2 linked regions of the Coturnix japonica genome follow. The protein of the gene in region 2 binds, or shares a complex with, the protein of the main gene of each other region. Links are inferred from orthologs where the notes say so. Each region holds a gene or a part of one and is shown on either strand. Other genes may lie near its edges. The genes, in order: GID8 and ARMC8.

Evidence for each region.
Region 1: the proteins of ARMC8 (region 2) and GID8 are in contact, whole or in part, in a cryo-EM structure (PDB 7NSC), measured with the Homo sapiens proteins. The link is inferred for Coturnix japonica from reciprocal best matches to the Homo sapiens genes ARMC8 and GID8. Residues at the interface, in NP_001350870.1 of Homo sapiens: Asn45, Val47, Ile48, Gly49, Asn50, Val85, Ser89, Met92, Arg127, Arg130, Arg161, Tyr162, Tyr166, Leu200, Ser201, Tyr202; in NP_060366.1 of Homo sapiens: Ile83, Ala84, Asn87, His90, Pro91, Glu92, Leu94, Asp95, Thr96, Tyr101, Tyr183, Glu184, Asn185.

The regions. Positions count from the first base shown.
Region 1 is NC_029535.1:7,549,426-7,565,287, forward strand, and holds GID8 (glucose-induced degradation protein 8 homolog), read left to right. Parts: upstream 1-7,301; 5' UTR 7,302-7,421; intron 7,422-9,215; 5' UTR 9,216-9,227; coding exon 9,228-9,345; intron 9,346-10,234; coding exon 10,235-10,431; intron 10,432-10,926; coding exon 10,927-11,124; intron 11,125-11,451; coding exon 11,452-11,625; 3' UTR 11,626-15,160; downstream 15,161-15,862. Other genes in the region: DIDO1 (death-inducer obliterator 1), read right to left, coding at 5,195-5,315. UniProt on the Homo sapiens protein: Core component of the CTLH E3 ubiquitin-protein ligase complex that selectively accepts ubiquitin from UBE2H and mediates ubiquitination and subsequent proteasomal degradation of the transcription factor HBP1.
Region 2 is NC_029524.1:2,446,292-2,462,053, reverse strand, and holds part of ARMC8 (armadillo repeat-containing protein 8), read right to left. Parts: coding exon 15,624-15,762; intron 13,198-15,623; coding exon 13,102-13,197; intron 11,459-13,101; coding exon 11,376-11,458; intron 11,074-11,375; coding exon 10,992-11,073; intron 10,772-10,991; coding exon 10,706-10,771; intron 9,458-10,705; coding exon 9,371-9,457; intron 8,505-9,370; coding exon 8,412-8,504; intron 7,922-8,411; coding exon 7,772-7,921; intron 5,947-7,771; coding exon 5,851-5,946; intron 3,723-5,850; coding exon 3,627-3,722; intron 3,151-3,626; coding exon 3,078-3,150; intron 2,446-3,077; coding exon 2,352-2,445; intron 1,467-2,351; coding exon 1,433-1,466; 3' UTR 1-1,432. UniProt on the Homo sapiens protein: Component of the CTLH E3 ubiquitin-protein ligase complex that selectively accepts ubiquitin from UBE2H and mediates ubiquitination and subsequent proteasomal degradation of the transcription factor HBP1.

The sequences.
Region 1 (15,862 bases), on a different chromosome or scaffold from region 2:
TAAAAACACAATTTGCTTGAGAGTTATATCTAATAATAAGCAGTGAAGAAGAATACAAAAAGCAACCAAAAGTAATACTGCAAAAATCTACTGCAGTACTAACAGCTTTAAAGTTAACTTCTTCCTATTCCAGAGACAATACGTTATTTCACATTAAAAAAATTAACATTAACATACTTTGTGATTTCAACAATGCATATTCAAGTAATACAGCCATATTCCTCATAAATACCCCCACACTAATAAAATGAAGAACAGACCCTTCTTAAAGAAGGAATTTAGGCTGCATGAAGCTGTAGTATATCCAGGCAAATATGAACTCTGCACACAACAGCACAAAGCATCAAGATCTACTTTCAAGGTAGCATTTACTACCACAAAAGTATTTCAGTCCCAAATACAAGACATGATATTTGTCAGAGATGGCAGCAATAGCACCTACAAGTCTCCTACTACATCCTTCCACCATGAGCTCCTGCTTCTGCCTCACCTGCCCACCCACCTTTACAAAGACAGGCAACAATACTCACAAAGCCCAACCATGGGAACTGGAAAGTGTTGTGTAGCACCTCATCTAAATCCCTAACAAAAGCCACAGGGGGGTAACAAACATGACTATTATGAGATTATGCTGACCCAAGACAGAAACTGATGCACTGCAGGATACAGGAGAACCTGTACCCTTGGAAAATCAGTTTCTCCACTTAGGAAAGGTATCAAGAATCAGAGAACAAAACCCACTAGCAAATGAAACCAATTTGGCAATTTAAATAAATTAAGAAAACAGATTTATTACAAGAACACGTATCTTCATATGGTGTTCACTCCTGTAAAAAAGAACCTTCAGTCACTCTTTTATTTTAATAAGTCCCTCTACAGAGTGTCTACACCATCATCCCATCCCTCCCATGATTTCTGTCATGTTACTCACTTACCTTACATGAGCCTAAGAAAGCCATTGCCACAAATAGGACAACAGCCCTGCACACAGGCAGTGAATGTGGCACCTCTGGAGGCATTGAATTTAATGTGTAAGCACAAAACCACATTACCACAAACACACAGTGGACTCCAGTCAACAGTGAGACCCCAAAATGATAATGAACAGCTGCAGAGTATAATACAGCTACCCAACTAAAACAAGTGGTTCAGGCAGCTCCCTGGTTATACTATAGGCCTTCACCGTCACAATTACACAAGCCAGAAACATTCAGGGGCACAGTTCCTAATCAACAGAGCAGTGGTGTACGTTCCTCACATAGAGGTAATGGCACCATTAAAACTGTACTTTCACCCGTATGCTGTCTTTACAGGGTGGGGTGGCAGGTATGCACCATTTCAGTGCAATACAGTTTCATCAGTGCAGCCGCACACTGAATTTGAAGGCTCTACCAACACATTAGAACAGGAGCTTCTATGTAAAGAATGGGTTCACCTCAGGAAGAAGCAAGACTTTGAAAGTTCACACATTCTCTGGATGAATAAAGCTACATCAGAGTCCAACAGAAATGATACTTAAGAGTTTCCAATGTAAGGATACAGTTACTAATTTTAAGAACAAAATATTATAGAGATATGATTGGTATTCTCTACCCCAGAGCTTCACATGAGGCAGAGACTTCAATGGCTTACTATCAAGCTTAGTGCTCCTGTAACACCATCAAAAGCTTTTCTCCACATTCAGCTACACAAGGTAACCCCAGATCTACTCTAAACCACAAGAGTTTACCCAAAGCAACAAAAACAAATGTAGATTTTTTCCTCAGGTTTACCTCCCCTCTCAAGGTAAGAATAATACAAGCAAAAATGACACGGCAAAAAGAACATTAAGAACCACTGCAAGCACAATCCCAAGCAGCACAGACAGTTCTGCCCTTTTTTCCCCTTTTAGATAAAAAAGGGAGGGGGGGAAAGCACCTTTCTGTGGTCAAAAGCTTGTATTCCAAGAAAAAAAAAATGTCTCCTTATGGCTTCAAAATCATGAAGCCAATTTCGTAAGCCACAGTCCTACGTTTAGCAAACAGACAGCAACTACAAACTTAGACTGCCATTGGTTATTACTCACTATACAATTATCTTTACCATTCCTTTTCTACCACTTTGGATGGAAATATTTCACAAATATACACTACATTTTTTGGTTTTAACATTCAGCTTCTGCTACAAAACCTGACCTCTTCAGCACCACTGATAATATACTGCCAGCAACTGCAAAGGAAACAAAGAGCTCTGGAAAACTGATTCACACCATCTGATATTCCTCCACTGAAGTACCAATGAAATCAGTTCTTTATTGTGACTTATGAATAGTGGGATGTTAAGTGAACACAAACAGTTTAATTCTTCAAGATCCCATTGCTTCTTTATTTTTAAACATAGAACTATATTGAAAGTACTGAATTGTCAAGTTTCAGCTTGAATATTCACACTACTTAAAATTCCCTCTTCTCCTTCAATAGCTTTGTACTAACTAGTAAAGCTGGGCAGGCTTTTTGTCAATTGGCACTATGATACATAAACTAGTTACACTTCCTACAATGTATCTATCTTAGTTTTACATGTATCTCTCTGTATCCTCTGGCATGTCTAATCCTGGTTGTCAGCAGAACTAAGTGTACAGAAATAGACTCAGAGCAACTGCAGGATTACAGTTTCTGATCCTACCAGCCCAGCTGCTGGAAAAAACACCACGCTTTGCTGTTACACCTTTTTCCCTTTTCAATGTGAAATAGAAAGTGAGCTATAAATACATCTGAAACCAGTGAGCAATTTCATTCTCACGCCATCAAAAAGGGGTCAGTATATGACATAAAAAACATGAGATCTTCCTTCAGAATACAGTCAAGTGATTACAGCATACTGATTACGTTACTACACAGTCAACAGTTCAAATACCAATTGCAATTAGGGTTTACCACAAGAACACGTGTAATACGCATTTAATTTTTGTCTCTTCCCTAGTGGGAATTTTAAGTTACTTGTTAACCTTGAAGTCTATCAATGCTTTTAACAGTAACTCCACTAAAACTCACTATTCTATTAACTTCTTTCTGAAGTTGTATTATATAAAAACATAACAGTAATACAACCTTTAAAGCAATATGTTCATAGTATATTGACAGTGGATCTAAAACAGTCCTAAGGAGGAGGACTGAGAGCAAATCCTGCATAAACTGGGTAAAATCAGTTGTACTTCTACCACTGTCCTACTGGTTGAAACATTATAGGTGACATTAGGCAGAAAAAGCTCAGTGTAAAACTAACACAGACAGACATTAGCACTTCTGTCAACAAGAAACCATCTAATCTTACTCTTGCTTAGTACAGTCCTGTCTCTTCCCATTTCTATCAGTTACATTCCATAATCTTCCAGCCTAATCCTTATAATCCTTCCCTTTCCCTTCTCCACTTAAGACTTCTGGCTGAAGTTCAGGCTCTGCAGAACTAAAAGCACACAGTTAAAACTCTACAGACGGAATCTGAAACTGAAATTAAATCATACCATCTACTCCCAGAGAAAAATCTTAAAACAGAATTAAATAGAGCCACCATCTTCTGCTGAGTCCATCAAACACTGAGAAACACACTCAATTTTGTTTGCTATTTTACTCCTATAGAAAGTTTGAAGTGTCAAAGAACAATAACAAGCAATTGGCATATAAAGGCAAAGCACAACCTAAAATCTCTATTAAATTAGCACAGTAAATACTACACTTGTACAGTAACTAACTATATATTGACATTGTTCATTGACCAGCAATCCAACTGCTTGAATGGCTGCTAAATTTCATTTATAAGTGTATCAACAAGACACAGTTTAAGCTGTACCTCTTGACATTACCACTTCTAAAGAAGCTCTTATATAAATAGCTTTAAGTGGAAATTTTTAATAAAATTAAAATACAGTTGAATACCAACTGCCAAATAATATACTTCAACAAAGCTGTGATGATTAAGCACTGAAATGAACTACTCTTGCAGCCTCAAAAAGATTATTTGGAGTCTAAAACATTAATAATTTCTAAAAAGGATCTTAATGCTGCACAAAACTTGCCCATTAAGTAAAAGGAATTATCATTTTTTCCCTTCCTGAAGTTCCCAGGGGAAAAAAAAGGGAACAAAACCAGTGCAACAAGACAAGACCATTACACTGGTTTTAAGTACTGAGTATATGTGAGTGTAATCCATACACATTATTCAGTTTATTAAACAATATGAAGTGTTCTTTCTGAGTTGAAAATGACAAGCTAAGATGACAGGATCTTATTCATCCACTACTAAAATGCAGTTACTGCTCAGATAACTGTATGAAACAGAATTTGGTCACGTTCAAAGCACAGCTTTGTGCAAGGCACAAGGGACAGTACAGAAATACATTAATAGGGAGGGAGAAAGGTAGACAGTATCAGACATTGACCAGTATAAATACTCAATACATATTGGCATTAACTAATGATGCAACCCCTTCTCCCTTCTCTACAAGGCACCAGCACATGCTAAAACTCTACTTTTCCTGTTGAACTCACCACTGAGGAGCCGTCTCCATCACCCAGCTCAAAGCCCCATAACCTCGTGCCAGGACCCACCCCGAGCCCTTGATGCCGAGGAGCAGCTCTCCACCCGCATCCCACCACTTAATAGGCCCGAGGCGGAGAAACCCTCATCCGGCAGCGGGATACGTTGAACGGGACCGAAAAGGCGGTTAATGTCGGTTGTAGCGTCACAGGGAAGCTCGCCGCCGTCAGCTTGACCCGTGACGTCGCTGGGCTCAGCTCACGCCCGTCCTTCTCCTTCTCTCTCCCCCCAAGATGGAGGAGCCCGCCTTCCTGCAGAGGCCGTCCTCTCCTCCGCGGCCCAACCACGTTAAGAGCTCACGGGGCGGCGGCTCGGGGCTTCCTCCGGGGCCCCCGCAATGTGTGGCCTTCGACGTGCCAGGCCTCCGACGTGCCCTGGGCCCGCAGCCACACCGATGGTTCCCTGGAAACAGGCCTCGCCATCCCCAGTTCCCCCCCAATCCCTCCCCTCAGCCTTGCGGCCTTCCCGGCCCACACCGCCCGCCTCCATTTTCTCATCGAGCCCCGAGGCCTGAGGTGGCGGCCGTGTCTTTTCCGCCTCCCCTCCTCCTCCGCAGCGGCTGCCCGGTTCTCGATCTCCTCCTCTCCCCGGTGCTTCTCCCACCGCCTCCCTCACTCACCGCGGTCAGTGGGTGCGGGATCTCTCCGACGCCACGAAGGTCTCAGCCGCGCCGCGCCGCCATTTCCTTCTCGCAACGGCTCCAAAGCGCTGGGCGGGGCCGCTCCTCCCCGCGCTACCATAGAGACGGATATGGCGGCCAACCGTAGGCTAGAACGCCCACCGCGCCTCGCTTTGCGCACGGCTCTCGGAGGACTTCGGCCGATACAAGCTCCGCCCCCCCGGCCCAGCAGCCCGCGCGCTTCCTCACAGCTGGGAGTTGGGCGGGAAACGAGCGGCCCCCTCAGTGCTACTCAACCCTAAAGCGGCCCTTATATCCCAATAAACATCATTATAAAATGCCTGGGCCCCTAAAAACACACTTGGGAGCCAAATAGGCACAGTATGAGACTCCTGAGGGTAAAAGCTAAGGGTGATGGCATTAAAGTTACTATTAGCTTTTCAACATAGGCACCGTCTCCACCTGTAAAGCAGGACTGTATTAATACTTACTCCACAGAGAAACACCAATATGTGAGAAACAGACTCCTATACAAAAGTACAAGATTAATACATATCAATTGGCTTCTAAAACAGTTTAATAAGCACCTTATGCATCTAAAGTACCAGAAAAGCTTATGCCAGGATATCTACCAAGCCCTCGGCACTACTCTCCTTAAAACCTTTTAAAAAATAAAATAAATTCTTTTAAATTCTTTTAAAATAAAACCTTAAATCCTTTTCCCATTGCTTTCTCAGATCTCATCTACTATTAGGCAGTCAGTACAGAGAGACTGAGTCAAGAAAGTCAGTGAGACTTTCTTCTGCAGGTAATATATCTGTGCTTGATTATCCCTGGGGTTTCTCTAATTGTATTTGTATTTATCAAGAATGAGAAAACAACAACAGGTAAAAACTAGAGACAGGGTTATCCCAATAATAGACTAGGGATGAAAGCTAACAAGCAAGTTCTTATCCCTGTTCCATTGCTTTTCAATATAAATATTGATCACTTCAAGTCAGAAGAGACTAATCCTTGTTGGCTGTGCCCCAGCTTTACCTTTTTTGATGAGCAGAATAAGGTTTGTATCCCCAGATACAAACCACACCACAGATACACCAGGTGTTAAGGCAGCGTATCCTCCAGGTACTTGGTTATACAAGGCTCCCAGCGTATCTCTGCACAAACAGAGAAATACTTTACCAAGGGCTATTCTTATTTGTGAAGCTTACCATAGAAGAACTATGCAGCTTACAATTTAGGTTGCTACAAAGCCTTTTCTCTCAAACAAAAGCTTGAGGTGCTCTCAAGTGTCTCCGCTTTACTCAGGGTGCACTTCCCTCAATAGTAAGCTCAGGAAACCCTTCTAGAGAGGGAAATTCTCCTACTCCCTCTGTCTTTATGGAAGTCTCCTAAGAAACTCCACCTTTTGGGGGAGGAGCTGACAAAAATCAGGGACAAGAATCTAAAGGGAAGATTCACAAGCCTGAAGGTTGAGATGTATAAGGAATAGAATTGGAAGGTTGTGTCTTTTCCTAAGCAACAAATCTGTTGTGGTAGCTACAAAACTAGGAGTGAAAAACGAGTAATTGTATCCATATTCCCACTGAGTGAAATTATATGTTCTCAATTAGTATCATTTGCCATATTTCATATGCAGATGTACCTCTTAAGCCCTGCTCTCGTTTCAATACACAAATAGAGCAGTTTTGTTGCCTTTGTGCCTTGATTCACAAGCCTTTTTGGATCTAATTGTGGCAAGTTTATTATATCACAGTATCACAGTCTCGTGTGGGTTGGAAGGGACCTTAGAGATCAGGAGGATAAGAGGAGATATTGTGCCCTGCAGCTGGGACAGGCGGCTCGATGGAGCCATAGAAGAGACAAGACCCAGCGCCACTTGCCCGTCCCATCTACAGTAGGTGGCACGGCGGCCATTTTGTAGCCTGCCCTCAGCCGCCCTCACTCTGTGCTACTGACTCCGTGGTCCTCCCGGCGGGACCGGCCTCAATTGAGCGCTACAGAGAGGCCGAGCGCCTCATCTCTATGGTACCAGCGCCCCGCTGGATGTGTGTGTGTGTGTGTATATACACGACGTACGCTCTATCCCGCGGCACATCTCTATGGTTGAGCTTTCTCTCTTCGATTGGCTGAGAGCAGTTCTCGCGAGATCCGCTCGCCGGAGGCCTAGCAGAGGCGGCGGAGGTGTCCGCGTTGGTGCGTTGCAGCCGGTATCGCAGCGCGCTCGGTAAGATGGCGCCGGCGGGGCCGCTCCTTCCCTCAGGGTACTTGGGCTGTCGCGGTTCTCGCCTCGGCTTAGCGGCTCGGTCCGTTGCTGATCGCTGTGGACGGTGGGGAGGCACCGGGCCTGTGGGGAACGGAGCCGTGCGCTTGTGTGGCCTGGTGTGGGTGGGCCGGGTCGGAGGATGCGCCTCTGGAGGCCGGGGCTGAGCGGGGTCTTGTTCAGAGGGGGAAGGTCGGGGTGCACAGCGGGGCTCGGACCGCAGCACTTGGGGGACACCGCGTGGTTCAGAGAAGGAGCTGGGGGTCCGGATGGACGAGAGACTCAACATGAGCCAGCAGTGCGCTCTGGCAGCCCGGAAAGCAAATGGGATCCTGGGCTCCATCAGGAGAGGGGTGGTCAGCAGGGATATGGAGGTGATTGTCCCTCTCTACTCTGCTCTTGTGAGGCCCCATCTGTTGTACCGTGTCCAGGTGTGGAGCCCTCAGTACAAGAAAGACATGGAGATTTTGTTAAGGGTCCAGAGGAGGGACAGGAAGATGATCAGGGGGCTGGAGCACCTCCCCTATGAGGACAGGCTGAGGGAGTTGGGTTTGTTCAGCCTGGAGAAGAGAAGGTTGCGGGGTGACCTCATTGCAGCCTTTCAGTACCTGAAGGGAACTTACTGCCAGGAGGGGAGTAAACTCTTGGAAAGGGCTGACAATAGCAGGACACGGGGAAATGGTTTTAAGTTAAAAGAGGGAAGATTTAGGTTGGATGTTAGGGGGAAGTTCTTTACTGGGAGAGTGGTCAGGCCCTGGAACAGGCTGCCCAGGGAGGTTGTGGATGCCCCGTCCTTGGAGGTGTTCAAGGCCAGGTTGGACGGGGCCCTGGGCAACCTGATGTAGTAAAGGTGTATGTTTGGTGGCCCTGCCAGGCAGGGGGGTTGGAACTACATGATCCTTGAGGTCCCTTCCAACCCGGCTCATTCTGTGATTCTGTGATTGGCAGCGCGGGCCGGGAGCGCTCGGTTCTTCGCGTAGCTCCGGGCCCGTCCTGTCCCCCGCTGCCCGGCGCTGTTGGGGTCGGTGCGGCTTTGGTGGGAGCCGTGGTCTCCCGGCTGTTCTGTTGGGAAGGGGAGGCAGGCGGTGCGCTGCCGCTCGGTGTTTCGGTGCCTGTTGCTGTTGTTGCCGCCTCTCCTCCCCCTTCCGCTGCCTCTGTCAGAAGCGGACAAATAACCGGCTTCGGTTTTAGCAGAGTGCGCTGTTTCCAAATCCGAGAATGAAAACAAACAGGAAATAACTTAGTAGCGTTGGCAGGAGCTCCTGTGACAGTCACTCTAAGCCGGCTGGTTGTGCGTGGGGGCACTCACTGCCTTCTTTTGTGGCCGTGTGACATACGTAGCCATCCAGTCAGTGTTTTTGTTTAAAACAGATATTGGTTACATATGTTTCGCTTTGGAAATTAGTCATAGATTTTCTAGTCAGTTGTAAAACTTGGATTCATTTGCTCTGCGTGGTCATGCTGTGGGTCTTGTATGACTTTTAGACAACGTTTTATTTGGACTGGATTTAACAAGATAGTGGTGTTTGAATTTTGTATATGGATGATGGATGAAAGCAGAGTTAGAAACTGGCTGAAAGTGCAGGAAGAAGGAAAAGAAAATGTAAAATAATGTGTGGAGATAAAAGGGTCCTTTGGGATATTAATTTAAGAGATGTCATTAGAAAGATACAGAGATAGTAGTAGAACTGTGCGTACACACATTAAACTTGCTTTTAATTGAATTGTGTTAAATGAAATGTTTTTCTGTCTTTGTAGTAAGAGACCAGGATGAGTTATGCAGAAAAACCTGATGAAATCACAAAAGATGAATGGATGGAAAAACTTAATAACTTGCATATTCAGAGAGCAGACATGAACCGCCTTATCATGAACTACCTTGTCACAGGTAAGGGTGTGTTGTAGTGCTAGGAAGCTTTTACTTTGTTGGGGCAAACCACTTTGGATACACTATGGTACTATAAGGAGTGACATTAACAACTTTAAGGATTTGGTGATTGCTGTTGACTTCTAGTAAGGTACACGTGCTCTTGTATTCTCTTAAGTGGACACAGAATCAATTAGATTAAAACAGGGACCCGGCAGATATACTGACATAGAAATTACGCTGACCTTAATTCTTACACTAAAAGATATAGAAGAAAGTATTTTTGGATTGCTGTAAACTGAAATGCCCTGCTTCTCTATGATACCTTTTTTTTTGTGCCATTGAGAAAGAACTCAAGATATGTAGCTGTTTTTAAATAGCACTCATGAAGCTTCGCAGAGCGTTTATCAGAAGTAAGTTTTAACTGTCTAGAAAGGTAGACTCTGAAAGGACACTTGTCAAAACAGTTTGAGACCAAAATGATTAAGCCCTTCAGCATATAGCCTAACTTTATACTTAGAGCAATCAGAAACCCTCGGAAATTGTCCCTGGCAATTATGATGCATACCATCACAGGAAGCTATACTAGGGTGGAGGCATTTATATTTGATCTACACCCCTGTTTACATCAGTGTGCGACTGGATCTTCTGAGATGAGAGGAGAGCATCTTAGTGGCTTAATAAAGTAAACTTTATTAAATAAAGTTTAAGATTCTGGGTGGCCATTAAAAACCTTTACCAACAACTACATTTGTTTTAGAAAAACAAAGTTAGTTTTCTTTATCTGTTTTTTCTCATTAAAACTATATAAATGTGGTTGGGGATGGGAGGGAGAAACAAAATAATGCAAATTCTTAAAATAGGAGCCCATTTGTGAAACAGATTTGTAGGTAAAACGTTTTTATTTCAGAGGGCTTTAAAGAAGCAGCAGAGAAATTTCGAATGGAGTCTGGAATTGAACCCAGCGTTGATTTAGAGACTCTCGATGAAAGAATAAAAATCAGAGAAATGATTCTGAAAGGACAGATTCAAGAAGCCATTTCATTAATAAACAGCCTCCATCCAGAACTGTTAGATACAAACAGATATCTCTACTTTCATTTGCAGGTAAGGACAAGTGGCCGTTTTTGTTTTAGAAGTTGTTAAGAAACTCTGGAAGAAGTGTGAGTTTAAGAGTATGTTAAGGGATTTGTGGCTGAACATAATTGCAGTTTCAAATGTTCGTTTTTGATATCATTTAATAGTTATGGGAAGATCTGTGGCATGGTACAACAACTGTCATATCATGTTAATTAGTAAGTTGGAAACTTTTAACAGTGGGAATGATCTGTGATTTACCAACTATTAATCTGGATTTCTGGTGGTTCCTTTAGAAACACATTTTCAAAACGTGTTATTTGGAAACCTCAGACTGCCTTTACTAGTAAATCTTGTTGGCAAATCTGTTACTTCTTAGATGTTTAGAAATGACCTTAAGCTTTCATGGTATGGATTAGTATTTGTCTCAAATTACATACAAATGACAGAAGATTATGGTCTCGAAATACTGGAGATTTGCTGCTTTGTTTAGCTAATATCACTGTGGTTTTTTTTTGTATGTAGCAGCAGCATTTGATTGAACTGATTCGGCAGCGTGAGACAGAAGCAGCTCTGGAATTTGCTCAGACCCAATTAGCAGAACAAGGCGAGGAGAGCCGGGAATGCCTGACAGAAATGGAGCGCACGCTGGCTTTGCTTGCCTTTGATAATCCTGAAGAATCACCATTTGGAGACTTGCTGAACATGATGCAGCGACAGAAGGTAGAATTTGCTCATAAGGAAGTCGATGTATTTTATTTGTGTGTGGTGAAAACCGTGTCCAAATATTTTTGAAATATATGGAAATGTGTATAGCTCTGTGCAAAAGAGCAGAAGTATTTCTTAAGCAGCATTCTAAAACCTGATGATGCCAATAATAGGCTGTTTGACTTTCTTCTTTGTTTCTCTAGGCTGTTGGTATATGGAGCTTTGTCCTGGCCTCATTCTGAGGAGTTAACAAGCTGTGTGTGATGTTATCAATGTCTCTGTAACATTACAAAGTGTTAATCATAGGCAAACTGTTACTAAACTCCAGTATTTCTTTTCCAGGTATGGAGTGAGGTTAATCAAGCTGTTCTAGACTATGAAAATCGTGAATCGACGCCCAAGTTGGCAAAATTACTGAAACTACTACTGTGGGCTCAGAACGAGCTAGACCAGAAGAAAGTGAAATACCCCAAAATGACAGACCTCAGCAAGGGGACAATTGAAGAACCCAAGTAAAATGTGTGCAGATGGACATCAAACAATCATAGTACTGCACAGTATACATTTATATCAGTCTGTGACTGAAATATTTTTACTACAGTACAGCACTCAATTCAGATTTTTCAATGAACATCTAATTTGAAGGGAGAAAAGTCCCTTTTGAATGCTGCAAAAACTGCATTGAAAGGCGCTGTATCTCTTTGAAAGTCTGACTTAGGCTATGCACTATAATACATTTTTAAAAGAAAACCAATTAAACAGGACAGGAAAAAATCACGTTTTTAAAAGTACAGAACTCAAGCTTTCTAATTGGCTACTGATGCTTAGTTGAGTGGTCAGTGAGTTAATACGGAGTTACATTGGCAATTATTCAGTTAAGTTAAACTGTCTCCTGTTTGAAATGTGTATATAGAACAGTGAATATTTTCTACCTTTAAGTTATAGCAAGATATACATTCCCCTTAAGAGTAACTGGTCATGTTTTCACCTATAAACTTTGCAGTAAGGTCAACCTTTTGCCTAGGAAATAGTGTACAAACTTGTAAATCTTAATTTAAGAACTTTTTTTTTTCCTTGTTTCTGACTTTTTGGTGCTTTATATGGTGAGAGCTATGTTCGTAATGGATCGGTGACCCATCTTTTCATGAGAAGTATTGTTGGAAATAAGTTTTTTTTCTTAATTTTCATGAATGACCAAAATGGCCCTCAGAGGCATTTGAGAGTTTTTCTTAAAGGGGACCTTTCCCTTCCATGTAGAGTTTGCAGCTGCAGACACTGCAGTGATTCCAGCAGGTTAGTAGAGCTTGGAGGGCCACCGGATTTTTGTAAGCTGAAAGACATACTTGTGTTAGGCAATGAAGTGGGGGGAGAGATACTTATGGAAGCCTCTGATGCATCTTCTTGTGCAGGATCTGCCTTTACTCACGCTGAATAAGAATTGTAGTTTTAGAGCTACTTGGGCTGTTTTTATGCCTTGAGCTGAGCAGAGCAGGGCTGTCTTTAAAGGCTGAAATGTCAACTTTTTTCGATTCTTTCCATACCTTTCTGAAGAGATACAGTTCATCTCCACCTGTATTACTTTGTTTACTGCCCGCCCTCACTCCAGTTAGGATTCTAGTTTTAATGTTTTACGTGTGAAGTCCAGACTTTCAAGTCAACAAATTGTAATCTTGTGGGTATGGGATGTTCAGGTCAACTTAATTTTGCAGCACTGTTCACTGGTATATATCCAGTGGTAGCACTAATCTTGCCAAATCAGTCTGTAGGTTTATAGGTCTGTATATCAAGTTATTAACGATTTGTTGAACAAAGACCGATCTGGTGGGTGAGGTAGCTGAACATCACGATGCACTGGCAGTTGTCATACCAGTCCCATACTGTACATAATCTAGTCTTGTATGGTAGATATTACCCTGTAGAATTAAACTTAGTTTTCACTTAATTTTACTGGAATACTTACGCATTAAACTGTATAAAGCTTTGCAGATACACCTGACTTATGGAAACTTAAAAAAACAAAAACAAACCCTGTTACTGATTGCATTACTGTGAACACTGTTTACTTGTGTAGCAATTTTTTTTGTGAGGGGAATCCATTATTTGTTAAGCAGCTATTAGAGATGCAGAGCACTGAGTTAAAGCTAGATGATGGGTATAACAAAATGAGTTGTTCTCATTTATCGCTGATAGTTTTGTTCTGCACTTTTAAGGCATTTTGTGGCATGGAGGTCTCGAAGTTTATGCATAACAAGCAAGCTATCACTTGCCCCCAACTACAGCAGTGGTCTGGCTTTCCTTCTCCCAGACTGGTTATTTTAACACCAGACTTTTAACAGTTGGTTCTTTTTTCCTTTTCCCATTCGGTTGATGTCTGCAAACCATGTATGACTTCTAGTTTGTGGGAAACTCTGGTTATTGTCACTTGGTTTAATAACAGACTGCAGAAACGAAACTGGAATAGCTCTAATTTCTTCATATGTAACTGATCGGCTTTTCCTCTGTTCTGATGCTTACCTACTAAATGTCATCTAAAGCTTCTCCCAGCTGAAGTGGAAAGCAGTGCGGTTTTGTGGCATGACAAGCATTTTTCTCCATGAGAAATGCAGTATTACAGTCCTGGTTGAGAAGTTCACTGTACTTCTAGGGTTAATTTCACATAGTATTTTGGGCAAAGAGTGAGCATAGTTTACTTGAATTTTCACTAGCTTGGTTTTTTTCCATTAAAAAGAAACACCATGTTTTTTAAGGGGTTTAATATAAAGTTAGTATAGAACTATTTCACTTTGTTTTTATGAACATGCCACGTTGATAAGCAGCTTTAATCTGTAAAGTTTTTTGGTAACTGCAAGAAAATATTGGAAAGCTATGCATTTTAGAGAGAGCATAAAGGTAGTCATAATGGTACTTCTAAGGATCTTTATATTAGTGTATATAAAATAGTTTGCATATACAAATATAATATATAATCTGTTTGAAATATTCTTGAATGGTAGGGGCTGTGAAACGTTATAATTTATGGAAATATTGTACACAGTAAACAGACCTCTGTCAGTACACGAATGGACTTTTGTCATATGCATGAGAAATGTCTTATTTGGTGACTACTAATGAATGGGATTTTGTTAACCCATTTTTGTTAGATAACCACTTTAACAAATCCTATTAAATGCCACTTTGAACAGTTTGCTTTAGCATTAAAATACATATTATTGTTACATTTTTTCCCCCCACTTAATTTAGAATGAGAATAACTTTTGTATGAAGATTTGTTCCAAACTCAACGGTGGCAAACAAACATGGTACACTGCACTCATTCTTCCCCCTGAAAGCAAGTAAGATTTTCTTTCCATTAATGCTACGAACACAAAGAAGTTGAGTTGTAAAATATCTTGTCCTACCTGCCTCTGCCAAAAGCCTTTGTATGAAATGCGTTTTGATTAGGCTACAAATCTCATTCCCTCTCCAATATCGTCTCCTTAATAGCTGTCTCTTGGCTGTTACCGTGTTCCTTTTCTGCCTCTCTGATCTAAGCTGAACTGGTTGCTTCTGTTGTACAACGGGGTCATTTGTGAAGGGTTGGGGGTAGTGGGTTTCCATGAAGGTGAACTACTGGCAGTGCTTTACTAGGAAAGAGATGCTGAACTGTTTATTGTTTATGTAGCTGGAAAACCAGAGGCTGCTGAAACCAGAAACAAACAGCAGGATTTGAAGTAAAGCGTTTCCTCTCAAGACGTTTGAACACGCAGAGCTTGAAACTGGGGGAAGTAGCTCTTGATCCTGAGGTGATTTCATTGAAACACTTCCTGCTCCTTCCACCTGCGTTAAAAGAAACACTGAAATGAACGTGGAGAGCACTTATGTAGCATTAAAAGTGTGTGAAGTTACGTGGGCATCATTCTGTCTCCTTTCCACTCCTTGTACGTATATGCGAAGCCATTACATGATCCTAGGTTGATTTTATTGCTTTTAATTTATAACGTTTCTGCTTTGTATGTTTGAGTCTAAGCTTCAAAGCACTTAAAAATACAAACACCCACAACCTTGGCTAGTAGTTGAGTGGTGCTCGACTTATTTCAAACCATTTTCTGTCCCAAGTTCGTTCACAAACTGCAATTGGAGTTTCCCTTTAGGAGATGCCAATTGCCTCTTATGGAACATGTGAACCTATTGCTCTGTCTCGTATCCTCCCAAAAGCAAAAGCAAAACTGGGTCATAATTTGTGCTGAACTTGATAAGATCTTCAAATAATGCAGCTGTTGTGTGGGTGAAATTCAGTGCAGGTGGATGTCAGCTCAGATATTACCCCAGTAATCTTCTGTTTCGTTTAATCTTTTGGCAGATTAAAGTGAATGCAGGAAAAACGAGAGGAGATTGTGTTCTTGATTGGTTTCTGAAGCCAGCACCTGTCTTCCTAATGGTTTCTATTTGTGTTTATTCACCCCGATGGGATGTTTGCCTCCAGGAAGTAACAAAGTAAAGGAACATATCGATATTCTCTGCGTTTTCTCATGGCGTGGCTCCCTCTTCTGGAAACACACAGTAGCAGAGGGAATAAAATTACCTCCTTTGCGTGGTTTCCAGCTGTGTCCAAACAGGTGAAAGAAAGCTGACAGTGTGATGAATGCTGAGCCCTGGGCTTGCTCTGCACACATCCCCTCGGTTTACACTCACATCGAGTCTATCTCACTCTTTTGAAGTGAGATAACCATTATTCTAATTATTTATTTCCATAAGGAAGTCCGATCGTATCCAA
Region 2 (15,762 bases):
TCCTATGCATTATTGACTCCTCAAGCCACCAGGGAGGGGTCTTGCATTCCAGCCTAACATTTCACACAGTCTTCATTTGTACCCACAATTTTTCTCCACGCTTACAGGCACCATCTCAGGAACCTACAGACAATTTAGGCTTCTGAGTATAGTAAAATCCCCTTGCTTATCACCCAGCTATCCAAACCCATGCATGTGTGTATATCTGTACATATACACAAAGTTCATAGCAACATGACTGAGCAAAAAAAGAAAAAACCCATCCCTTCTCCAACTTAAAGCACCCACTAATGGAAGTTATTTGCATGTTGCTTAACTATGTCTGAAGGTAAAGGATGAAAAATAAAGCAATCCCTTAACCACTGCTTGCCAGGTCCTTCTGGTCTCTTGAAAGCAGAGCTTTTGCAACACGTTGTTCTCTTCACTGATATAAGGGATCGGCAAACACGTAACATTAGTGAAATCAGCTAATCCTTCAGCAATTACCTGAGGAAATTCTTGGCTTCTACAGCAAGAGCTTACACCTGCTTATACTGCAGCCACCTGCCACTTCCCAGAGAAGTCAGCAGCCACGCTAACTCCAAAGCATGAGACTTTCTTCTCAAACTGCCCAGGGATACAGAGCAACCCAGCTGTCCCATACCACTCATTTGAGCATTTCATCAGCACTGAGTGACCCTGTATGGCAGCACGATGCTAACTCTGGGATCTTGTCAGTACAGAATTGGCTGCCTGTCCTTTGGGATATGCTGTCTCCCCTTATTTTCCTCTTTAAAAAGGAAGTATAATGTAAGTTAAGCTGAAGTTCAGAAATGCATATATTTTACTTAAAAACATTCATCTGTTCAAAATCCAAAATAAACTTTATGGGATACAACAGTTTTTTGTTTTTTGTTTTTTTAAATAACATTTCATTCAAACTGTATATAATTCATTGAAGTATTCGTACAGCAAACAATGGTTAACCCTTGAAAACCTGTAGAAAAAGATTTTCACACACACACACACAAAAAAAGGAAAAACAAAATTGAGGTATCGCACCCAACACACATCCACCCATACATACACACACTCAAACACACCCACACACATCCACGCACACAGGCTGCAGCAAAAGCAGAAAACTGTAGGCCCAAAAGGAAAATGATGACTGATTGTTCTATTCCAAAGTCCAGGTAGCTCAGGAAAAAAACAAACCAAAACAAACAAACCAAAACAACCCCCCGAGAGTCCTCTGAGTAAAGAAACTACCTCAAAAAAATTCTCAAGTGCACTGGAGACCTGATCATTTTAACTGTTTCTGCAAAGCAGCTCCCTGCACCTAAGAAAAATGCAGCCCAAGGTGACTTGTGCAAATATAAGGAGTCAGGAGGATTTCCTGCTGTTCCTTAAGTAGACATGAGGGGTGTCCGTAGATTCCATTAGCCTTTGATCATGCAAGATACTGCTGGAGTGCTGTCTTCGCCCTGCAAGTGAAAATCAAGCTGTTAATTGTTGGGTTCTGGCTTTATCATCATCAAATGTATGAACAAAACCACGCATTACGTCAGCAAGATAGGGAAGGTAACTAAAGAGGTGACAGGAAACTAAAACGCTGCTTCCTTCAGTTTGGAAGAACCTCATTTCTGGTGCAGAAATGCTGTGTGGGCTGTAACAGTTCAAGGATCCACCTGGTACCTGAGAATAAGACGATCTAATCACGTACATCAGATGTTCAGCATAAACTAAGCTACTGTCAGGTATGGTGTGGATTAAGATGCATCTCAAATCTTGAATTTTTAAGCAAAGAAATCCCCCTTCAGTTGGTGAGAAGCCATTATTTTTCTGTACTACAGATGTGCCATGAAAAGCAGCGACTATAGCCGGGAAATAAACCTGTCATGTATCATGAAGTTAGCACACACAAGAAGCACGTTATTCTTGTCAGGAAAACCACCTCTACTACCACAGTGAGCACCCTCACAGTAACAGTGGAAAGCAGCAGTCAGAACAGGACAATTTATATAACTTTGCACAACAAGTCCTGTGGTTGGACTTGATGATCTTCAAGGTCTTTTCCAACCTGGGTAATTCTATGATTCTATGATTCTATGACATCTTGGTTACAAATACCTCCCAAAAAACTATGGTGAGAGTTTTGTCAATATTTCAGCTAATTGAGTGTTAATTATCAGAACCTGAATTGAAAAGTTTTGCTTCTCCTTTGAGCCTACACCTCCCAACCATGCTGTCATGGCCCTGACAGTCCTTTCCAAGACCTGAGCCAAGTCAGCATCCCAGAAGATCACGTATAAGAGCAAAGATTCCCCTCTCATCTTGGTTTCTGGATTTTATGTTTTATTTATACTCACTTGTCACACAGATTCGGATCCGATGACTGACTCAATTTATGTAGGATATCTACTATTCCCATGTCTCGTAGTTTATCTTGGCGTTCTTGTGAACCTACAACAATAAATCACATTCTTGGAAACACCACTGAAATAAAAAACACGTGCAGAACAGAAGAAAGGAGTGGCAGAAGAAACCAGCTTAGGGAGTGGGGTATGGAGCACAGTTCAGCTAAGACACAGCAATGGAAAACTCCTTCAGCTGTGGCAGCTTTAAAACAGAGCTCCTCTTTCTTTTCTGTATTTCAGTACACATGTGTTTAAAGAAAAAAGAATTCAAAGGCAAAATCCCAGACAAATTTTATCCTAATGCAAGCAACTGAAGTCAGGCTTCTTTAAACTCCTTTTTCTGTTTTGGATACAAGCAGCATTTAACCGGAGGTGTATTTCTAAGTCTAAGCTGTAGCACTGTGAGCAGAAAAACATTTAGAGCATAAAATTCTGTGACCTGAGAGAGGTGTAATCTGTGTGAACCTCATCAGCTCCTTTTCATTGACATCATCCTCCTCCCTTCCTGCCCCTCTACATTTTCTCCTATGTTCCAAGCACTTCTTCCATATTACACCTATAATGATGTCTCCCTTTATGGTTTGGATTCCACTGCACTGCAATAATGACTAGTATGTAACTCTATCCTTTTGATCAGGGCAGTAATTTGTCTATGCATTACTAATAAGGCTTTCTTACCTTCTTCTTCATTCCATATGAGATTAGATATACAGAACATGGCAGCAAGCTGAAGTTTAGCATTTGAATGACTCTAAATATAGAAAAAAAAAAGTATTCAAATTTAGAAGACGAGATTCAGAATTTCTCACACATTTTGGCATTCATCCTGTAACAAATGAGGTAGGAAAAGCGGGGACAAATTCTGTATCTATAACTTCTCTCAAAGATAACACCATGACATAAGACACTTTGGTAGCTTTCAGTCAATTCCTCTTACATACTCAGTAAGAGATCTACTGGATGCTGCTTTTCCAAGATCATTACAAGTTTTCCAAGTAGAACTGTTAAATGTATTGCTTAAGTCAGCATAACATTATTACAGGAAATAACACCGGATCTTGTAATCAGCCATACAGAGCTGCACAGCATGATTTCTTAAGCACAACTGGGTAGACGAGAGCTAAGTGCGTGACGATGACTAAGAATTTACACGAATAAATACTAAAGCGTCATCCTTAATTCTGGCAAAAGATCAAGATAAAACACTGAAGAAGAATTCCCTCATACCATATAATATTTGATTTTCTGCAGAATGTCATCGTTGGTCATAATCAGTTCTTTTGCTGTTGTTCCATCTGCTATATTGGCAAGTATACATAACGTCTGAAAGAGAGAAAAACTGTTAAGAATATTGGCTGCAGATCACATTCCATGATTTATACAGCTTTCCTGACAGCTCTGAACTTGTCACAAACAATTCTTTTAATTAGTTTTAATATCGTTAATCTGGATTTTCCAGCTTGCTTACATTTCACCAGTGCCAAAGCAGTAACAATTGTGCCTGAACAGCCCTTCCAAAAACACAGTTTTTGCTGTTATAAAAAATTAAGCAACAATCACTGATTCATTTCACAATGAGCAAAATTTAAGTCTCTTATGGGAATATGCAGCACACAGACAAGATACAATGTGTTGGAAAGTAAAGGAGTCTATTCTGTAACAGCAGCTAGGAAAAAACAGAACACATCCATGTAGTTCTTCAGGTCAGGAAAGGGAAAACCAGAGGTCTATCTGCTGAACCCTCAGAAAAATATCTTTTTTTCCCCACAAGTTCTAATCACACATCTCACCTGCAGAGGTAACGCAAACGAACTACTTAATGCACCTGCTTATTACTTGTGAATTAGAAAAGCCATCTTACAACATAACCTTGAAGCAAGAAAGCCCATGTTTGCACTACATGCACAAGGCATTAAGACTTGCAAAGGCAGCTTTCCAGGCGCTCAGGAGGCACACTGCTCTATGAATTCTTCCCTTAAGAGCTGCACAAGAATTCAGCCATGTTTTCTGTACGTGTGGCTGCAGGAGGGCTGTGGAGAATGACCAGCGCATGTGTGATGCCTTTGCCTAAGCTGCATATGTCCATTACGTCCCAAAGCTGCTGAGGACACACTAACAAGGCAGTCAGCGATAAGCACCATCCTACTTGTGTGCAGTGTTGTGTGCAAGTTAGTTCTGAAACAAAAACATGTTCATCTCATTGCAGGGGTAAGCGAAGTGCTCTGTAAATAAAGGCTCCAAAACTGAAAGCCTACGTTCAGCTTCAGTACAACAGCCTTGTTACAGGAGGTGTGCTTCCTCCTCTAAAATAATTCTCAGAGGCTTGGCAGGCAAAATCATCTCCTATTGCAAAAAAGGCCATTTCACTTACTAGAGCTTTATCAAAAACAATTTAGAAAGAAACAACTGTTTAATCCTCAGCTGCTTCACAACCATGGTTTCACTACACTTGCTACATATTTAGTCTTACATGTGTTTGTGGTTTGGTATTTCTTTTTGCTAATTCGGCATTTTAAACGGCCACAAAAGACCACTTCAGCCCACTCTTTACTGAGCAGAGATTTCAATCACTCTGGATTTAGCGATTAAAGATATTTGCCATGCTGCTCACTACCAACATCCATTCTAAGCCAAAGGAATCCATGGCAATCTCCCACAGCTCCTCAGTGCCCCCATTACTCACCACCACATGTCCTGTGTGAGGAAGACAGTTAAAGAGAGCCTTCATCTCCCATAATTAGCCAAATTCTGCCATCCATCCTTGTACTTTTGCTGTGGTGGCCTCACCCTTATGCTGTTCTAAAACCAGAAATGCTTTTCTCTGTTGAACATCTCTCTTCAGGTCCCTTTGCTTGTGTATATTTTTACTCATCCAACTGCAGTTTTTCAGAGCATGCCCCTCCTGCTCTTCTCTTGGGCTACACCAGCATGCTCTTCTCCCCGCTACTGCCTCCTCTGCTGTGAGCACTGCTGGCTCCCACAGCCCCCAGGAACAGCTGAGATGCCACAGCTCCCAGCAGAACATGTTCCACCGCCAGCAAAGCGGGCACTAACACTATTCTTTTTTATTGACTGTTCCAGCAGCTGCTGTAGGAGCAAATAACCATGAAGCTTTTCCAGGCATGAAATATTGGCTTTTTCCTCTTCCCATGTCCCCACCATCCCCCTTCTGCCATGCTACTGCCTTAGATTTAATTCTTCTGCTCTCATGTACAGTGTTCTCCTACCTGTGAAATCTAAAAAGCATTCTGAATTGAATTCAAGCATGTTTGCAGTAATGCACTGAAGAGGAACTTCTTGTAGGTGCTAAAGTTATTAAATGGACAGACCTCAGTAAAACAGCCACAGCAAATCATAATCCTCAAAAAAATTAACATGGTGAGAACAGTAAGCATTTTTAGATTGTATTCTGCCAATGAAAATTCTGCCATGAAAACAAAAGAAAGGATACCTGCTCTTTGACTTCTATATTGTGCTCCCCTTCCAAAATGAGGGTCACCGCTTGCATGATTTGCTTCCCATGAGTGCTCATTATATGGTCTATGTGCTGTCAAAGCAATGAAATACAGTTAGCAGTAATTTTCCACACACACAGGCAGCATTCCTACATGAATTACTTTAAATAAAGAGTAGCAACATTGCACAAAATTCCTATAGTACATAGCGAGATCTCCCAAAACCCAAAGCAGCAGAAACACTTGGTAATATTCCTCTTCATCTGAACCCTGGTCACGTTTGAGAGAGCACAATATGGGCCTTGGTTCTGAGTTCACTGAAACCTGTAGGAAAAAAACCACTGGTTTCCTACTTGGCCACAGGCTGAAGACTAAGTCCTACTGGATGTGAGCTCTCAGTATGATGCTGTAGTTATAGAAAGAACCACCTTTTCTCCTCTGATAACAGGAGGACATCAAGGAGGGGTAAAGAAGTGTGGCTTATTTTTTTTCCACCTGGAACTTTTGCTACACTTACTGGATCATTGCAACCAGGATTGAGATCTTCATTTAATAAAACCAAAAACCTTAAAGGATTCAGAAAGATAAGATGCATAAATTACTTATAGTCTAGGAAAACTGTCTCAAGGTCAGAGACTTACAGGTAAAAGGGTCATATGATTAGGGACTACCAGTACAAGAATATAAGCAGTCATAAGGAGTAACAGAAAAAAAATGCAAAACTAAATCTACTGGAGGATCTGATAGCAAAACTCAGGAGTGACAGCCAGCAGCCACCAGACATAACCTGTGCACAGCACACACTGCAGTTTTCTGAGCTGGAACTTCTTATCAATAGAGATTCTTGTAGGATTTCTTAAAATTGCTAGCACTGAAACTTGAATCAAAAGCTGCTGGATGAGTTACTCTGGAGTAAGTTCTGGGTACAGAATGAGAACGGTTGATTCTGGCTCTGAAGTGTTACAGACAGTAGGTGAAGCTGGGATGGTATCAGACAAATAACACCTTAAAATAATGAGACTCTGCTGTCAGAGCTCAGCTCAGGGTGAATTAATGAATGACAGGTCGCTTCTTTCACATGAAAATCTTCACATTAAGACAGTGTAAATCCTCAATGAAGCTTATTGAGATTCAGTAAGTACAGATATCAGAAGCTATTTTGCAGTGACCTTTTTATGGTAGAAACACAACACGTGATAAATGCACAGTAGAGGCTTCGTGCCATTTTTCCCCCACAAAAATGCTGGCTTGCCAAATGTTTGCTGCATGTTTTCCCTCTGTTCATCACAGGGGATTACCCCTTTCATTTCCTCCACCAATATCTCATTCTCCCTGTCAAAAACAATTCATGGACTTACATTTTCAAACCATTTTACTTTAGTGTGTAAAATGAGCGAATGCATTTTTTTTCCCCCAAGTGAGCAGTCCCACAGTCAAATTCATCAAGTCTGAGCTCACTACACAGCTGGGTAAGAACAGAAATATTTCAGGTGTCAAGAGAGAAGAAACATTAGGTATCCTCAATACAATGCACCTCTCCACATACTGACTCAGAAGTGCAGCTCCCTCACTGCCCTCACTGCTATTCTGGACAAGTTTTTAGGACAACACTGTGGGAAGCTAAATGTAATGGAGCTGATGATTAAATACAACTGTCTAGTGCTGTATTTTATAACAGATAACAAGCGGATGTACAGAATTCTTTCCAGTTTTTCTGACACTGGTTTGAACTTTTGCTTACAGACACTGGGATAAATGCAAAGCAGAGCCCTCAGTTTTAGCCACGTACCAAAGAGCAATCAAACAGAAAACCATTTTGTATTCTGAGCCAAAATCTTTGTCAAAAATAAAACTGATCATTAATTTTCATTGTCTGTATGTTCGATCAGAACAAAGTCTGTTTGCAGCTCTACTTACTGGACGAGTAGACAGAAGATTCCTGAGCAGTCCCAAAGTTTTCATCAGAACATTTACATCGGAATCAGAAAGTAACTGGAATAACTGCTCCGTGCTCAGACCTCGTAAGATGTCTGATTTGATCTTCTGTTCAGCTTGAAATGCCATATTCTGAAAAAGACAATGCTTTTTAAAGCTTAAGCTTTAGTTTTTTACTTTTAGGAGACTGTTGCCTGCAAGCATATAAATATCCTTGCTGAATTAGTCCCAAAATTGCTATAACTTACAAAGAACTGTAAATTCCCCATAAGAGAGCATTTATGGCTATGCAATAAATCCATATGCACACTGTTTCATGGCTGATTTTGCTGACCTGGTTATTACCCACTTTTATTTGTCCCCATAATGATTTGACACTGCTCAAATATTTGCCTGAATGATCCGGACAACCAAATCAGTATCTGAATGAAAGGGTTCTTATTCATCTCTAGCTGTTGAAGCGTTCCAGGCTGACAGTGCTTTCCTTCTTTGGATGGACAGAATGCAAAAACAGACTTCACTTACACTATTTCTAGTAACAGCTCACAAGTTTCTTAAGTCACATTAACAAACTACTCCAGAAGTGCAATTGCAAGAAGTATTCCATTGGTATTTTACTCACCATTAAAGCCCAAATGCCATTCACTCGCAAGGCAAGATTTTCACTTTGTGTTAAACTACACAGAAGTTCTATGGCTCCTGATTCCAAAATAGGCTAAAATGAACAAGTTGGGACAAAAAAAAAAAAAAAAACCAAAAAACCAGACCTTTAAAACAATACTCCAAATAATTAGGTGTACAAATAAAAGTAAACATCATTTTTTTTAAAAAAAGGTCTTGCTTATATCTCACTCTTCAAATTCCAACACACTCGGCCTGCTCTGATGAACTGACAGAGCCATGCTCCATATTCATGAGCACTAAAAGGTAGTTTTCTATGAGGGGAGAGAATTCTTTACTCAAAGAGTGGCGAGGCCCTGGCACTGCTGCTCACAGAAGTGTGTGGCTGCCACATCCCTGGAGGTTCCAGGGCCAAGCTGGATGAGGCCTTGGGCAGCGTGAGCTGGTGGAGGGCAACCCCATGGCAGGGGTTGGGGCTGGGTGGGCTGTAAGGATTGTACGAAACACAGATGTGACACAGAACGCACAGCAGATATCCCCTATCTTTCAATCAAGAAAAATAAAGACCTCTCAGTTGAGCTATGGCAGCATTTTCAAGATCACAGCAGTAATTCTGTAAGACAATCATATCCCCAATTAAAGTTTGTTTTCTTGGTGCTCTCAAGTTGTTTTTTTTTTTTAAGATAATCATTATTCTATGAGTTAAAAAATTCATTTCTACTTTTTCTTTCCCCCCTTCAGAGGCTATATTTAACTATTCAACAATATTTAAGTGTCACAGCACTGTAAGCAGGTTTACTTGATATTAGCATCAATCAGAGATTTCAGTCTGCCTAACATTACAACTCTATGACAAATAACATGTCGCTCCTACCCACCAGGATACCCTTACACTTATTGAACCCCTCTGTAGGGCAGCTTTCATTCAGAAACAATAAAAGGTAACAGACAAACACTAACCTCTTTGCTCGGTGAGAATTCTAGTAGAAGATTGCATAGTGTAGAAGATGCTACTATCAGAATTTCATTTGGAGCATTCTGTAAAACCTGTTGTCATGAAGGGGAGAATGGAGAATCTCTGTCAATGAGTAGGGTAAGGCAGGGATTGCTGTGAAATGGAATACTTGTACACATTTGGAGATGCTCATAGTGCAGATTCAGACAGCACTCATTCAACTCAATGTGATACTTCTTACTACATGACAAGCTGGAGCAATGCAAAACTCTTTCTCATAAGTCAGATTTGAGAGCTTTCATGTGGGTTTTAAAAGAAATCAAGGGAATGAAGCCCTGTTCTGCAAAGCATGGATCTACTCTGCTCAGCATCCAACAGAGAACAGGCTGCAGCTGCAGAACACCTCTGTACCACGCTTTACCAAAAAAAAAAAAAAAAAGTCAAAAAAGGAAGCTCCAGGAACTTGTGTGGTCAAATCTCTCGACTTGCCAATTAACAATGATTAATTAACTCACAGATTATCATCACAATTCATAAATTCATAAATCAAGAATCAGTGCTTCATGTGTAATAGGTACAGTATATTATATCTTGTCAGAAAATAACTGCTCCATCATTTCCATCATGAAACTACAGTACAAAGTAGTCCCACACTTTAGGGCTTCTAATTCACACAAGCCTCATATAAGGCCAATAAGATGACCAGCACATCAGTTTTGTGTAGTCCGTTATTTCTGAGGATTATGTTCATAAGCAGATCAGAGAAAGTCAGTGAGACTTTGTACAGGCCTGAGCAGCGTGTCCAACAGGCATCCATCCTTCTTGTACAGAATCATCCAAACCACCAGCAACAGCCGAAAGATCTCCTGATTACTTCCTTACAGCACTTTGAAGCTTGAAGACAGTCAGCTCATGTAACTGTGCCTCACTATCAGGTTCATCAGTTCAACTTTGCTGATGAGGCTTTCTCTGGCATGGCTATTGTACTTCTGCATAGAGTCAGGCTCATTTCAGGCATGGTGATTCTCAAGGACATCTACATTGCCTAAGCATTCAGGCTCTTTGCAAAATCACCTCATTCCCCATTCTCGAGAGCTGAAAAACACTGACACTAAGAAACTGGTCTATCTATCTGCACTTAGTGACAATCACATTACAGGGCAAGAAACAATAGATGCATCTCAATGCATTTTAACCTTGTGCACAATAGCATTTAATTTAAAAAAAAAAAAAGTATTTTAAAAAGTTTTGCTGAGTTCTTCAGCTTCAGTTTTAGTATTTGCAATGAGAACTAGAGAACTACAGCAGAAAACAGACCTACATACTCTTGTAGCACTTACAGACCAAGCCTGAGCTGTTCCATCTACTCTGAACTGAAGGATATACAGTCCTAGTGTCCTGCAAGACTAAAAATTAGGGATAATGTAGCTTTATTAACTGATCACAGAAAAAAAAGATGAACAAATAGCAAAGCATGGACCACAGCACTCTTGGCATGGAATCTGATTTCTGGGTCATATATGCTATGACTCTACAGAAACACGTGCAAATTAAACATACACCATATCCTCCACGTTATTATAACCAAGCAGAAAATTCGAGTGGTTGCAACTTGACTTCACTTACCTTCATTAAAGGTTTCCATACAGCATGGTCCTGAAAACTTGTCCTGAGCTGCTGAACAGAACGGGACAAGCTGTGCAAACATCTAAAACAGAAAAGAAACATTCATTGTGAAAAAAGTACACAGAGATACGCTTCTGCTTCTATGCATACACACACACACGTTGCTTTTGCACATAATAATGCAGCCTAGAACGTGGTGACTAACAGCTTGCAAATAGCAAAAGAAAATACTGAGCTAGTCCAGGATCATTTTCTCCCCCTAACAAGTTTTCCAAAAGCAGAAGATTTCAGATTAACTTCAGCTCTTGAAAAAAGTTCTACCAAGTGCAACACCAGACTTTGACCAAAAAAAATTGTTTGTATGAAACAAAAAAAGCATCCTACCTGACTGCAGCTAATCGCACCTTGATACTAGATTCAGATAAGCCATTAACAATACGGTCCATCATATTTTCAGTTTCAATGATCTAGAGCAAAAAGTAACCAATATCATATGAATAAAATAATATGAACATTTACGGGGCTGTTATCTTTTGTTTTGTTCTTCTTTCCTGTCTGCAATGTTTTAAATACCGTACAAAAACTATAACTAAAAACAGCAAGCCACTTTAGAGTCTCAAACTAAGCAGAACAAAGTGTGCATCTGCACGTGATTTGGGAGATATCTATACCCTCTGTTCCACTACTGCTCTCAAAATGTCCTGAATAATCATTGAGAAAAAATACATATAATATGTACAATGTATTACTCAGTGTTATACTAAAATGAAAGATAGCATGTGTGAGTGTACAAAATATATACAAACTATAGATTAGAGACATGTGGTAAAGCCATCTGGAAAAGATACAGTTGCTCATCTTCCATATTTAGACATGGCCGGCACAAGCATTTAAAAGTAGGAGAAAAGGGAGTTAATACCATGGTGAAAGATGGCCTTTATATAATAAACCAACTTTGTCCTGTTCACATCCATCACTTGTTAAAGACAATTCTTTGAAATGTAAGAGAAGGGATCCTTGCTATTAACTAAAGAAATTAGAAAGAGAAATGTATGAGTTTGAATCTCCGGTTGGGTTTGCTGTGGTAGGACAAGGGGAAATAGCTTCAAATTTAAAGAGGGGAGATTTAGATTTGATATAAGGAAGAACTTTTTTGTTTTTTTTTTTTACAATCATTGGAGACATGGAGATCCAAGGTCAGGCTGGATGGGGCTCTGAGCACCTGATGGAGCTGTAGGTGTCCCTGTTTGTTGCAGGGGAGTTGGGCTGGATGGCCTTGAAGGGTCCCTTCCAACTCAAATAATTCTATCATTCTCTAAAATCTGGAGATTCTGAATGGGTCCCCAATGAAAAAATCCTCCTACTTGTTATCCTCTCAACTGAATGTTTTCCCACCTCCTACCTGCCCTTGCTTTTCATCCATCCTGCTTCTTGTGCCTGATATTTTAGTTTGACATAGCAACCCCACACTAAATTTCAAACTTTTAACTACATGACTACTCCTATCTTCCCATCTTTTCTTCATTGTTTGAGTAGAATTTGTCCCCCATGACACCACATTTTCTAATAGCACAAACCCCTCGGTCACTTCAGAATCACCGAATCAATTGTGACTTGGTTTCACAACATGATCAGATTTCCTAGGGTTTGTTTCTGGGTAAACATTCATTTTATAACAGAGGCAAATTTTGTCTCCCCAAAACACAGGTTGCAGAAATGCTTTAAGACCCACATGCCACAGCAATGACCTCACACAGCCTAAATGGCTGGACTGATAATCTTTCTAGGTCCCTTCCTACCAAGCTATTCCATTTTATTCTGAGTAGCAAGGACCACAGCACGCTGAAAGACTTTATTCTGAAAATCTAGTTTATCACCATGAAAAATTCACACCAACTAACCTTACTCTTCTATTTTGTTAATAAAGACAAATTTTCTTCAAATCCCACTCAAAGAAAGAGCGCTGTAGAACTCTGTTAATGTAACAGAAAGCAAGCCTTCACAACTCACAGCAAAACAAAGGAAGAGTTGGAAGGAGCAAAACATACATCCAAGCTCTTGCACTGCCCTTCACCTATAGCTCTGCCTCATTGCGGACATTTTTGCTCACCTTTTTTCGAATATCTTCATCGTTTGCTCCAAGGGAAGCATACAGCTTGAAAGCAGCCTGGCGCAGCTCATGGGCATGCTTCAAATCATGGTCAAGCTATTTAAATAAATACAGATATCAAATATAGACGCTAAAAATTACGGGTGGTATTTCCTTATTTGCTGTACACTAATAGCTGCTTCCTCGGGTTTTGTCTATCACACGTAGAACAGCCAGAAATACAAACAACCTGCTGTTTCATCAGCTGATGTCCACGCTCATCATCTGAACACAATAATTTAAGGGTATGGTTAATGTCACTGTTGAGTTACAGATAAGCCAACTTAAATAACATCTGCTTACAACATTTTGATGCCAAAACACTTCTCAGATGTTACTGCTCCATTCAGACTATATTAAGGTGAAAAGCAGTCTTATTTACCCAACAGAAACTTATAGGAACAAGCCAGAAGAAGTGGAAAAAATTAGTACAGAATCAAAAGTTTTATCAACAGAACCGAAGCCCATCCCTCAACCACAGGACTTAGAGCTTAAGGCGATTGTTAACTTCCAGTTCCTGTCATAAGGGCAACACATCAAAGTGCTAACTGCCTAGATGTTTGGGGAAGGTAACAACACAGGTTCTAGGCAAGTGAATTAGGGTGATGCATCACGGGACACATGACTCACAAATCAGGAACAACTGTACTGGGTATGATAATCAAGTGGGAACACTTGGCTGTAGGGATAATAGTGGCATCCCAGCTCCTGCAAGGTGTGAGCAAGGCAAGAAGCAGAATACATACAAAGCCTTGACTTTGGGATAGTAGACCTGCATTAGCTGAAAGAGAACACCCTGGTTGTCAGCGAGGAGAAGAGAAGGCTGAGCAGAGACATAAGAGCAGCCTTCACCTCAAGAAGACTACAAAGAACATGAAGGTGGACTCTCTATGGAGGTGCAAAGAAAGAGGAGACAATAATCAGATTGGAACAGGTGAGGTTCTAACTCATATTCACCTGGGGAACACTGGAACTGAATGCACTGAGAAGCTGTTTAATCACCATTGTTAGCAGTTCTCAATAGCCAACTAGACAATCCCTTCATGTCCTTACCAAGCAGAGTTGCTCTATGATTGACACCCTTGCAAACTCCAACCCAAAGGGTTCCACATAACAGAGCAACATTTTAAGCCTACTCAAAATGCCAGAAAAATGCCAGTATTAAGCGACAAGTTATTGGTATGAAAGAACTGTCCAAAATTAAGCTGTACGAACAATTTCCCCTGGTACAGATACACCATTAGAGCAGAATGTATTATGTCTATTTTTAATATTTTAACAACAATAAGTAATCTGTTCAGTAAAGTCCACACTCATCCTGTTTTTACCTTCTAGGGAGTAATTCAAAGAGTTTTTTTCCTTCTCCTCCAAACAAGCACCCTGCCATTCCAGGTGACTATTTTTAGAGACTTTCTGAACACTTAAAGCCATGTCATAATACCTATAATCACTCCTGTTCAGAACCTTTGCCATGTTTTTGATGCTACCACCAACACTCACTGCTTCCCAGTCAAATGCTCATTTTCCTTCTGCTTATTATCTAAAGTGCAACCAACAGTTTTTTTAATATTTAATTTGCATTTTTACATCTACTTAAAAGCAACTGTACGTGCAGAATCAATTCAATCCCTTGAAAGCCTGAGAGGTGTGTCCACCCCTGGGGACAGTCTCAAAGAAAAACAAAGGCTCTGTAATCCACTTCTTTGGGGTACTTTCTTTAAACTGAATGAGAGAAAAAGGGAATTGACAAACGATACTTCCCTACAAGGAATATCAAGAACAATCCTGTTTCCAAGACTGACTGATCTACTAGTGCTTTGGTAAGTGTATATACAGCTGGGAATAGAACAGCTCCTAAAACACCTATGATAATAAGCCTCCAAGGTATACTGGATCATTGTTTATCCAACCTCTTGCAAGTGCAGATAACATCTGGGAGATAACGTGAAATGATATACAGGGCATCCAGGTTTTTCTGCGTAACAGAAAAGAACCATCTCTGAACTTAACATTTTCCACAACTTCACCTATGAATTCACACCATCCACATCACATGGACTATTATCTCTTATGAAGACGAAATGCAGCGGCTCCTGAAGCTGTAAACTTGTAAACTCAGCACATGAGCAACATGACAGATGCCCTTGTCCAGTATTTCACTACTACATTGGGAAATGTCATGAAAATCCTATGAAGAAGCTGCATTAAACTATCCAGAAACCATCTTCCTGTGTTCCACAAAGAACAGCAAAATCCTTCTTACAAGATGTAGAGCCCAAATATACACAAAGTTCTTTGTTTGGATATTACAGGCTCCAGAATGAACAAAGACTTGAGGCCTAGTTGCATTAGGGTCATGGCCTAGCCTAGGTCTGGCAACCTTTCCATTGAAGAACTTGGATATAAGGCTGAGCTAAACAGAATAAAGAAACACCTTGAGCCCATTTCTTACTGTTTTTCAAAGATTCAGCAGAAGAACCTACCCTTTTGATATCAGTGATTGCACTCACTGAGCTGGGATACTTGAAGTAATCGGCAAGCATGACAATGAGGTGGTCAGTAATGCTGGCAATTCTCTGAAGTTCCACGTCTGTTTCAATCAAATAGGCCAGAGTTTCTGCT